Linked DNA regions of Oryctolagus cuniculus. The protein of the gene in region 2 interacts with the protein of the main gene of each other region in a biochemical or structural test. Links are inferred from orthologs where the notes say so. Each region holds a gene or a part of one and is shown on either strand. Other genes may lie near its edges.

Evidence for each region.
Region 1: the proteins of PPFIA1 (region 2) and GIT1 form a complex in vitro, tested with the Homo sapiens proteins (2 studies listed by BioGRID). The link is inferred for Oryctolagus cuniculus from reciprocal best matches to the Homo sapiens genes PPFIA1 and GIT1.

The regions. Positions count from the first base shown.
Region 1 is NC_091448.1:45,041,929-45,046,730, forward strand, and holds part of GIT1 (ARF GTPase-activating protein GIT1), read right to left. Parts: intron 4,724-4,802; coding exon 4,618-4,723; intron 3,753-4,617; coding exon 3,535-3,752; intron 3,452-3,534; coding exon 3,357-3,451; intron 3,021-3,356; coding exon 2,978-3,020; intron 1,518-2,977; coding exon 1,491-1,517; intron 1,352-1,490; coding exon 1,303-1,351; intron 969-1,302; coding exon 896-968; intron 591-895; coding exon 493-590; intron 244-492; coding exon 132-243; intron 54-131; coding exon 1-53. UniProt on the Homo sapiens protein: GTPase-activating protein for ADP ribosylation factor family members, including ARF1.
Region 2 is NC_091432.1:2,222,031-2,227,484, reverse strand, and holds the start of PPFIA1 (liprin-alpha-1), read right to left. Parts: upstream 3,757-5,454; 5' UTR 3,551-3,756; intron 2,822-3,550; exon of another isoform or gene 2,801-2,821; intron 2,606-2,800; coding exon 2,342-2,605; intron 1-2,341. UniProt on the Homo sapiens protein: May regulate the disassembly of focal adhesions. May localize receptor-like tyrosine phosphatases type 2A at specific sites on the plasma membrane, possibly regulating their interaction with the extracellular environment and their association with substrates.

The DNA.
Region 1 (4,802 bases), on a different chromosome or scaffold from region 2:
GTCGTGCTGGTCGTCCAGGTCGCTCTGGCTCCGTGCAGACAGCTCGAGGTGGTCTGAGGGCACAGGGCCTGTCACTCGGGGCGCCTCCCCTGGGCTGTCTCCCCAGGCAGGGGGAGCCGCGCCCGCCGCACCTGTCGGGCTGCTCAGGCTCTTTCCCTGCTGCCTCCGCTTGGCCTCGCTGAGAATGTCGATGATCAAGGTGGCAAACTCGCGGGCGTTGAAGCGGGCCAACTTCTGTCGCCCCTGCAAGGCAGGGAAGACCACGCTGACCCCTAACTGGCAGTGACGGGGCCGCCAGGCACTGCCCTGCCACCCGCCTGAATCAGGGCTGGTCCGTCAGGGCCCCGCTGGGAAGAGGCCAAGTACTCAAAGTAACAACGTCTTCCTGGTTCCCCAACCCCAGCTCAGCGAGGGGCGAGGGTGGGCAGGAGCCCAGTCCCAGAGCGCTGAGGAAGGGCAGGGCTCCTGGGGACGGAGAGACCACCCTCTGACCTGATTCCGGGTAGCCGAGTACTCCGGGTTAACCGGCAGGAAGGGCACGGCGCTGCGCTCCGTCACCAGTGTGCTGTGGTTCTGGGTGGCCAGCCACACTGTGGGGGAGGGACAGAGAGGCCATCAGCATGGTGGCCGGGCCTCCCCATGCCCACCGAGCCTGCTCAACAGAGCGGTAGGCTTATGCAGGATGAGGCTGGCGGGGGACTAGGCACAGAACAACGCCCACCCCGCCCTCCATCCAGCAGCCCCAGTTCAGGCTGGAATCTGGCTGTGGCCAGGAGGCAGTGACGTGGGGGGCAGAGGGGAGGGAGGAGCGGGGACGCGGCCAGGCACCTCTTCTGGGTTCCACTGAGGGCCCAGCAGGGGAGGCACTCGGGCCGACCGCCATCCCCGAACTTACCCGCGTCATTCTCTCTCCGGTCTACCTCGTCATACACGTCCATGGCAAGCTCTTCAAAAAGCCGGTTGCTGAGCTGGAGGCAGAGAGGGATGAGATTCTGTCAGATCACTGGCCCCAGTGCTGGCCAGGCCAGCTGGCTAGGATGGCGTGAGGCAGGGGAAAGGCTCGTGTCCTTGCTGCCACCCAGCCCCGTGTTCTGAGACCTGGAAAACAAGGCAGGGGCTTGGGTCCAAGCTCCAGGGAGGGCGAGGACAGAAGGGAGCAGGACTACTTGATTCCTCGTAGGTCAGAGGTGGGGCTAAGGCCCTGGGAGCCCTAGCACATGGAAGGCAGAGCCGAGGTCCAAGACAGGAAGGGTGCAGGGGCGGGGGGGGCTAGTGGGGGGCTCCGAGCATCAGGGTGCTCACCGCCTGCAGCTTCTTCTTTGCAGCTTTTGCCAACTCAGACAGGTCCAGGCTGGGGACGAGGAGGGGAGACGCAAGGGAAAGAAGGGCCGTGAGAGGTGGCCAGGCCCCTGTGGTGACCTCCCAGGCATGCAGGGCTCCCAGGCAGACAGGACCGCGACGCCCGCGCCCGCCCGCCACAGCCTCTATACCTCTGAGACATGCACTTTTGCCGAGACCTAAGTCCAGAGGAAGGCAGCAGAGGGAAGAACAGGACAGCAGCTGTTACCCAGCAGCAGGGCCGCTCGCGCCGCCTCGGGAGGAGCTGGCACTCTCGGCACGCACCCCGACCCTGCCTGCTCTGTCTGGGGCCCCTTCACGGGCTCTCGGCTACCTCGGGAGCACCTCGGCATCTCCCGCCCCAGGTGCTGCGCCGTTCCCTCTCGCCTGGGCGCCTTTCCCACCCAGTGGCACCACCCTCACTGTAGGGACCCAACATTCCAACAGTGCACAGGGCACGCCTCAGCCCTGCCTCCACCGAAAGCGAACTTCTAAGTACGGGCTGGATGCCTTGCACGCATCATCTCACTTAATCCTCTCAACAGCTCTGCCAGTCCCTCCTCAGATGAGGTAGCCAAGACGGGCTGAGCGTCCTGCCTCCAGTCCCACAGCCCATGGACGGCACAGCTGAGCCCACACGCCGGGCCTGGAACCCGTCTGCCCTGGGAATGGCCTGGGCTCTTGCCCTGGCTGTGTTCCTGAGACTCCCGCCCCATCCCGGGTGGTATTTCCAACCCCTGTGCCTCCTGCCGTCGGCAAGAGCTGCAGTGACGGGCAGCCTCCCTAGCTGGAGCAAGAGCAGGGAACATGTCAGACATCCGCCTGTGACTGCAGTGCCCAGAGTAGCTGCTGGCTCTGAGAAGGTGCACGGCCCATGTTGCACTGAGCGCGTGCCCACAAGTCGGGCTTTTTGCCGCACACACAAGGCAGAATCAGACCAGAGCAATGGGGAGAGTCTCAGAACAGGACGTCTGGGTTGAGGGATCCCTGCTGCCCAGGCCTGACCCTCTGCATCTGTTCACACCAGCTCCTAGGGGAGGGAGCAAGCTCCTCTCCAGTTACAGCCTGGCAGTGGAACACCGCCGCGGCCAGAGATGGCCACCAGGTGGCACTAGCATGCATCTCCTGAGCTGGATGAGTGCCTGGGGTGTCCTTACCACCTGGGGCTCTCCCAGCCTCTCAGATCAGAGGCGGGAACACCTCACTCAAACCCTGTGCCATGCATGGCCCTTGCCTGATTTCTGAGTGTGCGCCCAGGGCCTGGGCAGTAGCCGCAGAGCGGGTCAATCCCTGGAGCCTACCATCTTTCACTACGGAACAGAGGTTTGTGTAAGGTGGGGTCAGAGCCCAGCAGCCACCCTCCCAGCAGAGAGGCCCTCCTTGTGCCCTGGGCAGTCAAGCGGCTCAGGTGGTGCTGGTCGTGTACTGAGCTGGCAATCCTTACCTGCCGTTGGGCCCAGCATTAGGAGTGAAGACTAGGCTCTGAAATACCTGTGCCTCCAGCCCCCCGACAGGATGGGGGTGGGGTGGGGTCCCAGGCCCCTGAAACCAGGGGAGAGGATGGGGTGGGGCCTCTGGGGGTCAAACGTCCGCATGGCATCCAACAGCCTTTGGGAAGGGGCGTCAGGTGGGCACTCACCTGTCAGCCATCTGTGGGATGATGTAATGCCCATTCTTGTGATCTGAACAAAAATAAAAATGCCAAGTCACTGGTGCTGGGTGGCCTCAGCAGCTGGGAGCCCACCCCACTGCCACAAGCAGGGCTTGGCACCCAGAAGTGTCGGGGGGGAAGGGGGAGGGCAGGCCACCCCAAGAGCGCTGGGAGCTGGCTGGAAGTTAGGCCCACCCCCACTCTCTGGCCCCAACCTGCTGCAGCCCAGAGCCTGCAGCAATTTCACAGGAGCCAGTTGCCTAGCAACACTGTTCCCCAGCCGGCTTTGTCACCATGGCACCTGCTGCTGGGGTGTGTCTGGGTCCCACCTGCCAGGCCCAGCCAGACCTGCCCGTGCTCTGCTCACCCGGCTTACGTCCACAGAGGTAGAAGGCCAGCCGGTCAGTGAGCTCATACTGGCACTCGACTAGCCTTTCCGCCAGTTCATGGTGCCCGGCCTGCCTGTGGGGAGGGGTATGGCTCAGCCCTGCAGCAGCAGCCCACTGCCCCCACCGGCCAGGCCTCACCCCCTGGCCGACCCTCACCTGGCATAGTCGATGGGTGTGCGGCCATTAACGTCGGGGGAGCCAGGGTCAGCCCCGTACACGACCAGCAGCTCTGCCTGCAGCGTCTGCCCTGCCTTGGCAGCCACGTGCAGGGGTGTGGTGCCCTTCTCTGGGTGGAAGAAGTTGGCCTGGGCGCCCAAGGACAGCAGGCGCAGACATGTCTCCAGGTTGCCGGTCCGCACGCTTGAGTGCAGTTGCTGCAAGCAGTGGAGTGTGCAGTAACTGTGCACGCGTGTGCACGAGTCCTGCCCCAAGCTGCCCCTTGCCCCGCTGCTCCCCGCAAGCCCACCAGCTCCAAGGGCCTCAGCCAAAATCTGGCCATGTCAGGGAAGACAGAAGGCTCCCCACCAGGAGTGAATGCCAACGAATAAAAACTGCCTTCAGGGCTGGCACCCGGTGCAGCAGCCAGGATGCGGCCTGGGATGCTCACATCCCCATCCAGAGGGCCTGCTCCAAGTCACAGCTCCTCCACTTAGGAACCAGCTTCCTGCTAATGTACCGAGAGGCTGAAGGGAATGGCTCGAGGTGCCTGGGTCCCGGTCGCCCACATGGGAGACCTGGACTGAGCTCTGGGTTTCTTGCTTAGACCTGGCCCACCCCTGGCTGTTGTAGGCATTTGGGGAGTGAACAAGCAGCTGGGCGATCTCTGTCAGCCTTTCAAATAAATAAAAATAAGATTCAAAAAATCGTAACAACTGCCACAGTCACCAGCCGCTGTGTGCTTGTATGCTCTGCCAGGAAGCCATATCACCTATGAGGTAGTTGCTATTATTTCTTTCCCATTTTACAGATGAGACCACTGAGGCTCTGAGAGCCTTCGCACCTGCCCTTAGCTTCTGAGTGGCAGCTGGGGGACGTTAGCCTCATGTGCACACTCGGGAGCTGAGGCGCCTTGGTCACACACAGCCTGATGGAGCAATCTTGTCCCCTGCTGTGGCCACTGTTTTCCCCTGGCCAGGCAGCCCTAGGGGCCTCGGGCTCACTGGTCATGAAGGAGAGGCCCTCGCGGTGTGTGGGGGTGGGAAGCAGAGGCCCGCCCCTCCCTCGCAGGGCCCCCCGCACCTTGCTGAGGTCTTTGGCGGTGACCCCATCATCGTCCCGGCAGGGAAGCTTGTGCACAAACGCCAGCATCTGGTACTTGGCCCTGATGAACTCGGACTTGATGGGGCTGCACGGCACACACAGGAGGAAACGTGTGTCCCCGGCCACAGCCCAGGCCACGCACGCCCTCCCCGCCGCCCCTGCAG
Region 2 (5,454 bases):
CGAGGACAGCATCTGTAAGAACGGGCAACAACGAACAGTGACCTACCACTGTTCCCAGAGAGCAGGTGGGGACGCGCACTCTGTTCCAAGCCCACGACTCTGACATAACCAGAGGGAAGAATCAAGAAACGAAACACCACATTATTTCATGACTACATAAAGAACAGGTGTATGTAGCCTGTGACGAGAAGTCAAGCCCATGGCCATCTCCAGGGACAGCTGCTGGGAGCGGGCGGGAGGGCTTCCCAGGAACCCGTTTCAGTCCGGTTCTGCTGCCGTAACAGCACAGACCAGGTGACTCAGAGAGCCTTATTTCTCACTGTTCTAGACACCGCAAGTCCAAGAGCATCACGCTAGCATCTGACCTGGGCCTTGATGCTGCCTCCTCTCAAGGCAGAAGGGCAGGTGGCCAGGTAACACAGAGAGGATGAGGGCCACCCCACTCCCATAGTGACTAACCCACTCCGACAACTACCCCACCCCCAATAACCCGCTCCCATAGTGACTAACCTGCCCTCATGATGGCTAACCAACTCTCACAACAACCCGCTTCCACACAGCCTGCTCCCATGATAACTAACCCCTCACACAATAACCCGCTCCCATAACTAACCCGCCCTCATGATGGCGAACCTGCTCTCACGATAACTAACCTGCTCCCACAGTGACGTCCTCAATCCATGATGAGGGCGGAGCCCGGGCCTGACCTGACCACGTCTCCCAGGTCCCCAGTACTACACGCAGCCAGCAAATCTCGGCAGGCGGTCGGGAGGACGTCCGACCTCAGCCCCGGCAGCGCCCAGGCTCTGGGTGAGGGCGCTGATTCTGGACGGCGCTGCCTGTGAAATCCACCGAGATGGACACTTCCGATCGGGGAAGCCTTCTGACGCAGGCGGCAGCTATGTTTTCTGTAGCATTCTCCGGCTTGCTTATCTGGCCACACAATTAGCCAGCGAAGCCCAGCCAGATTCCAGGAAGAGAGAAGGAACAAAACAAGTCCCCTGGCTGCTTTCGGCGGTGCTGCAATCAGGCGCTGACGTGAACCGGCGGCGTCACCTTCAGCCAACCAGGCCTCTCCAGAAAGATCCCGGGCGCCGCCGCCCGCGGAGGCTCCGTGTGCCACACACTGCCACCGGCCTGCTCTCCTGCGTGCCCCCACCCGGTAACTACCTCATCAAACACCCGCGTGTCGGACGCACTGTCGTGGGTGCCGTATCCATGACCAAAACACGAAACTGCGGAAAAGACCTACAAGCACGTACAGTAAAATCCCGCACAACACGGGCCGGCCAATTCTTTGACGTTTTTGGCATTAAAATCTGACCTAAACAAAGTTGGTAGTTTATAAGACTTGAAAGAGAAAAATCTTAATGAATTCTCTAACGCACAACAAACCACTAACATCGAGTTGCGATGGCTAAAAAGGAACTCTGAATGTCTGCTCGTCGTGTTCAGGACGGCCGAGGACGGCCGAGAAGGGCACCGGGGCAGCAGTCCTGCACCTGCTCACTCGTCAGAGCGCCCTGGAGCCACCGCGAAGGCACCTCTATGGATAAGGAACGCGGCATGCAGACAGCTCGCGGACCCCCAGCAACCACGCATCCCCACTGTGCTCTGGGCGGCCCACCCGCCCTCGTCTCCTTCCCCTACCACTGAACCCCACTCAGCTCCGCAGGACACGCCCTGAGAGGTCAAACAGCCTCAGCTGTTTCAAGTTCCCCTGGGGTCAACCTCCAGTCTCCCAGCTCCTGAAACAAACCTGACCCACAAAACACAGCTGTCCAGTCCAGGGCAAAGCCCAGCTGTCTGTCTACCAGACGCCTCAGGGGAACTGCAGGTCGGTGGGACAGAATCCGCAGGAAATTCACACTCTGCATGGAAAGCCCAGAGACGGCAGACGGAGAGGGCTGCCCACGCCAGGCCCGAGCAACATGGGAGGACGGAGAGGGCTGCCCACACCCAGGCCCGAGGACAGAGGGCGCTGTCCACGTCAGACCCGGAGACGGGAGGACGGAGGGCACTGTCCACACCAGGCCCGAGCGAGACGGGAGGACGGAGGGCGCTGGCCACGCCAGGCCCGAGCGCGGAAAGGCAGGGCGCGGCTGCTGTCCCGAGGAGCTGGCCCCGAGCAACGCTGCGGCAAGCACAACCGTCAGCAGCCGCGGCCACAGCCGCCCGGAGCCGCGCCGCGCCATGGCCACAGCGGCCCGGAGCCGCGCCGCGCCACGCCATGGCCACAGCGGCCCGGAGCCGCGCCGCGCCACGCCATGGCCACAGCGGCCCGGAGCCGCGCCGCGCCATGGCCACAGCGGCCCGGAGCCGCGCCGCAGGGCGCCCTCACCTGCGGCAGCGCGGTGTTGAGCTGCCTCTGCAGAGAGTCCCTCTCGTGGCCGACCTCGTGCAGCTTGCCCTGCGTCAGCGCCAGCGTCTCCTGGGTCTCTCTCAGCGTGTCCAGAAGACGGTCCCTCTCTTCCAGCATGGACACCATCAGCTGCTCGAAGTGCGAGTCGGCGTCGGGCTGGGCCGGGGAGCCGGCCCCATGGCTCCCGCTGCCTCCCGGGGGGCCTTCTGCCTCACTGATGGTCGGCATCACCTCACACATCATCTGCAAGACAGGCAGCAGCCCGGTCATCCGGGGCACACACCTGCACCCGGCTGTCCCCACTCCCAGTCCTGCCTGCTTGCAGGGGGTCGGCAGAGACGCCCGGGGCCGCGACCAGCGAGGACCCAGAGCGGACCCAGAGCGGCCCGCGGGGTGCTGTGCCCGCAAGGCTCCGCTCTCTCCGCGTGCTTCTGGTACCTGACTTTCCTGCCGCCCGGCTCGGGGCCGGGGCAGGAAGGGCAGAGAGGGGGCATCGCACGGGAACGCGTGCGGTCGGCTCGCGAATGCCGGGCTGCACCTGGGAACCGGGTCCGGGGAGGGCGGGCAGAGGTGTTTCTCCGCGGCTGCCGTGGTTGGTCAGTCAACCTCGCTTACGTCAGTTTACAGCCCAAAAAAAATAAACCTGGGGGAGGCGGGGGTGGAAATTCCACGCGGGACGGCCAGCGAGGAAGCCAGGAAAAGTGAAAGGCGAGCTGACCAGAGGCTATTAGGTGTCTCCGGCGGAAAGGCCGGGCACCGCTCCGGAGGCTGCCGGGGCACCGCGACCCCCGAGAGCCAGCAGCCCAGCGCCGCGCACCTGGCGGGCGCCGGCCACCGCCAACCGCTCGCACCTCCGTCCCCTCCCGCGTCAGGTGCCGCACAAGCCCCAGCACCCGGGGGTGCTCGGAGCCCCTGGGACAAGGCCCGCCCGCCGTGGCCACAGGTCCTCGCCCCTGCCCCCGGCGCTGGGGTCACCACGGCGCCGCGGTCAGCGCGCGGCCCCCAGGGCTGAGCCCCCCGGGGAGCAGCGGGGCGCCGAGCTGGGTGGGGGCTCCCCGCCGAGGGCCGCGCCCCCAGCCGCGCCCCCGCGGCGTCCCGGCCCCCCAGGTGACACTCCGTCCGCGGGGACGGCCCGGCCGGCGCCGGGCGCCCCGGGCCCCGCGCCCGCCTCAGCCCCCCGCTCCTCACCTTGCTGGCCGGCGGCAGCGGGCGACGAGGCTCCGCGGCGGCTCGCTGCGGGCGAGCTCAGGGGCCGACGAAGGCAGCCGCGGGCAGCTCGCGCCCGCCCGCCCCACGCCGCGGCCCCGCGGCCCGCCGCCCGTCACGAAGGCCGGCCAGCGGCCGGACACTGGCGGAGCGCAGGAGGAGCGGGCCCGGCTGCGCGTCGCCGGCGTCAACGTGCCCGACGTCCGGCGCGTCGGCGCGAGCGTCAGCACCGCCCCGGGGGAGGGGCCCCGGGGCGCCGCGGCCGCGAGTGCGCAGGCGCCGCGGCCTCGGGAGGCAGTGGGCGGGGCCGCTAGGGCGCCGATTGGCTGGGCGTTGCGGAGGCTCCGCCCCGCCCCGCCCCGCCCACACGGGTCCCCGGGCGGAGCCACAGGTGGGAGCCGCGGAGCCAGGTGGCCGCTGTAGCTTCCGCCTGCGTGCTGCCCCCGAGTCTCCCGCAGCCGTGCGAGCGCGGGAGGCCTTTGCCCCCGCGCCGGCGGTGTGCCAGGTCCCGAGCCAGAGCTCCCCGGACGTCACGTCGGCGCTCCGCTCCCGGGGCTGGCGCTGCTACTCGCCACCTTGCGTGAGAGCGAACCGCGACCTCCGACGCCCGCTGACAGCCGGGCCCGGACCCCGCCGCGTCGGTCCCGGAGCGGCCCCGGGCGGATCCTTACAGGGCGGGCGGGACGCGGCGGCCCCGCCAGACCCACGTTCCGACGCTACATGCCGCACCTGGGGCGGCCAAGACCAGCAGCGTCGGATTTCGAGGCTCACGGGCGCCGTGCGGGGACGTGCAGGCTTCGCAGGCACGGCTGGTTCAGCCACCGGCCGCTCCTGTCCCTGGACAGCTCCGGGATGCAGGACCTGCGCCGTGGGAGGCACCTCCGAGCTGCCCTCGGGGGCCGGGCCTTTGAGAGCCCAGCAGGTGCGGAACCGGGCAGGGGAAGCCCTCCTGCGAGTCGTGCGTGACCAGTCACCCTTTCCGCAAGCGCCTAAAAAAGCGCCTGCCGCGTGCCACATCCCACGCAAAAGTGGCGGGTCCCAGCGTTCAGGAACGCACGCGTGCCCGCCCCCTGCACGGTCGGGCGCAGAGAGCGCAAGGTCTTCATAAACCAAAACGATAGGGCAGCGGCTGCGGCCCCACTGGCCTCTGGGTGCTGGTGTGCAGCCAGGAGCCGCACCCGAACCCTCCAGGTGATCCCTCGAATCTCCATGGGTCAGACCACCTAGAACAAGCACTGGGTGACCAGGGACCACACACGAACCCGAATCTGCATCTCTGCCCCAGCTCTTTGCCATGTTAAAATTGTACAAAAAAAAAAAAAAAAAAAAAAAAAACCACCACTTAGGTCTGCGATTCTGCAGGGGTGCAGGGGTGCCCGGTTCTCCGAACCAGGGTCTGGATCACTGATTTGCAGCTCTCCTGAGGGTCAGCGGCTCAGCGCACCCAGCCCGTGTTTGCCCATGGCTCACCACGGCGCCGCCTCCTTGGAAACGGGCACCGAAATGAAATGTGGTTCTGCCATGGGGAGCCTGCATCGGATTCATGAACACGTGTGGGACATGTGTGAGCGGGGGATGGCCCGGGTCTAGGAACACGGAAGTGGCCTGGGCCTGCGGGGGGCGGAGAGAACCCCACTGCAATGGTGTCTGCTGGGGGTGGGGGGGACCTGGTGCTGCAGAACCAGCTCGGCGCCACGGCGGGCCTCACGGCGGAGGCAGGTCTCAGCCACAGAAAGCAGAAACCCACTGGGGCTTACGGGAAAGCGGCCATTTGGCTCCCGGAAGACGAGAATCTCGGGTTACATTCGTTTTCATTCATCCATTTCATTCATCCAGATGACAGAATGGTAAGAGGAAAGCTGTGACAGCCAAATGGCTTGCAGAAG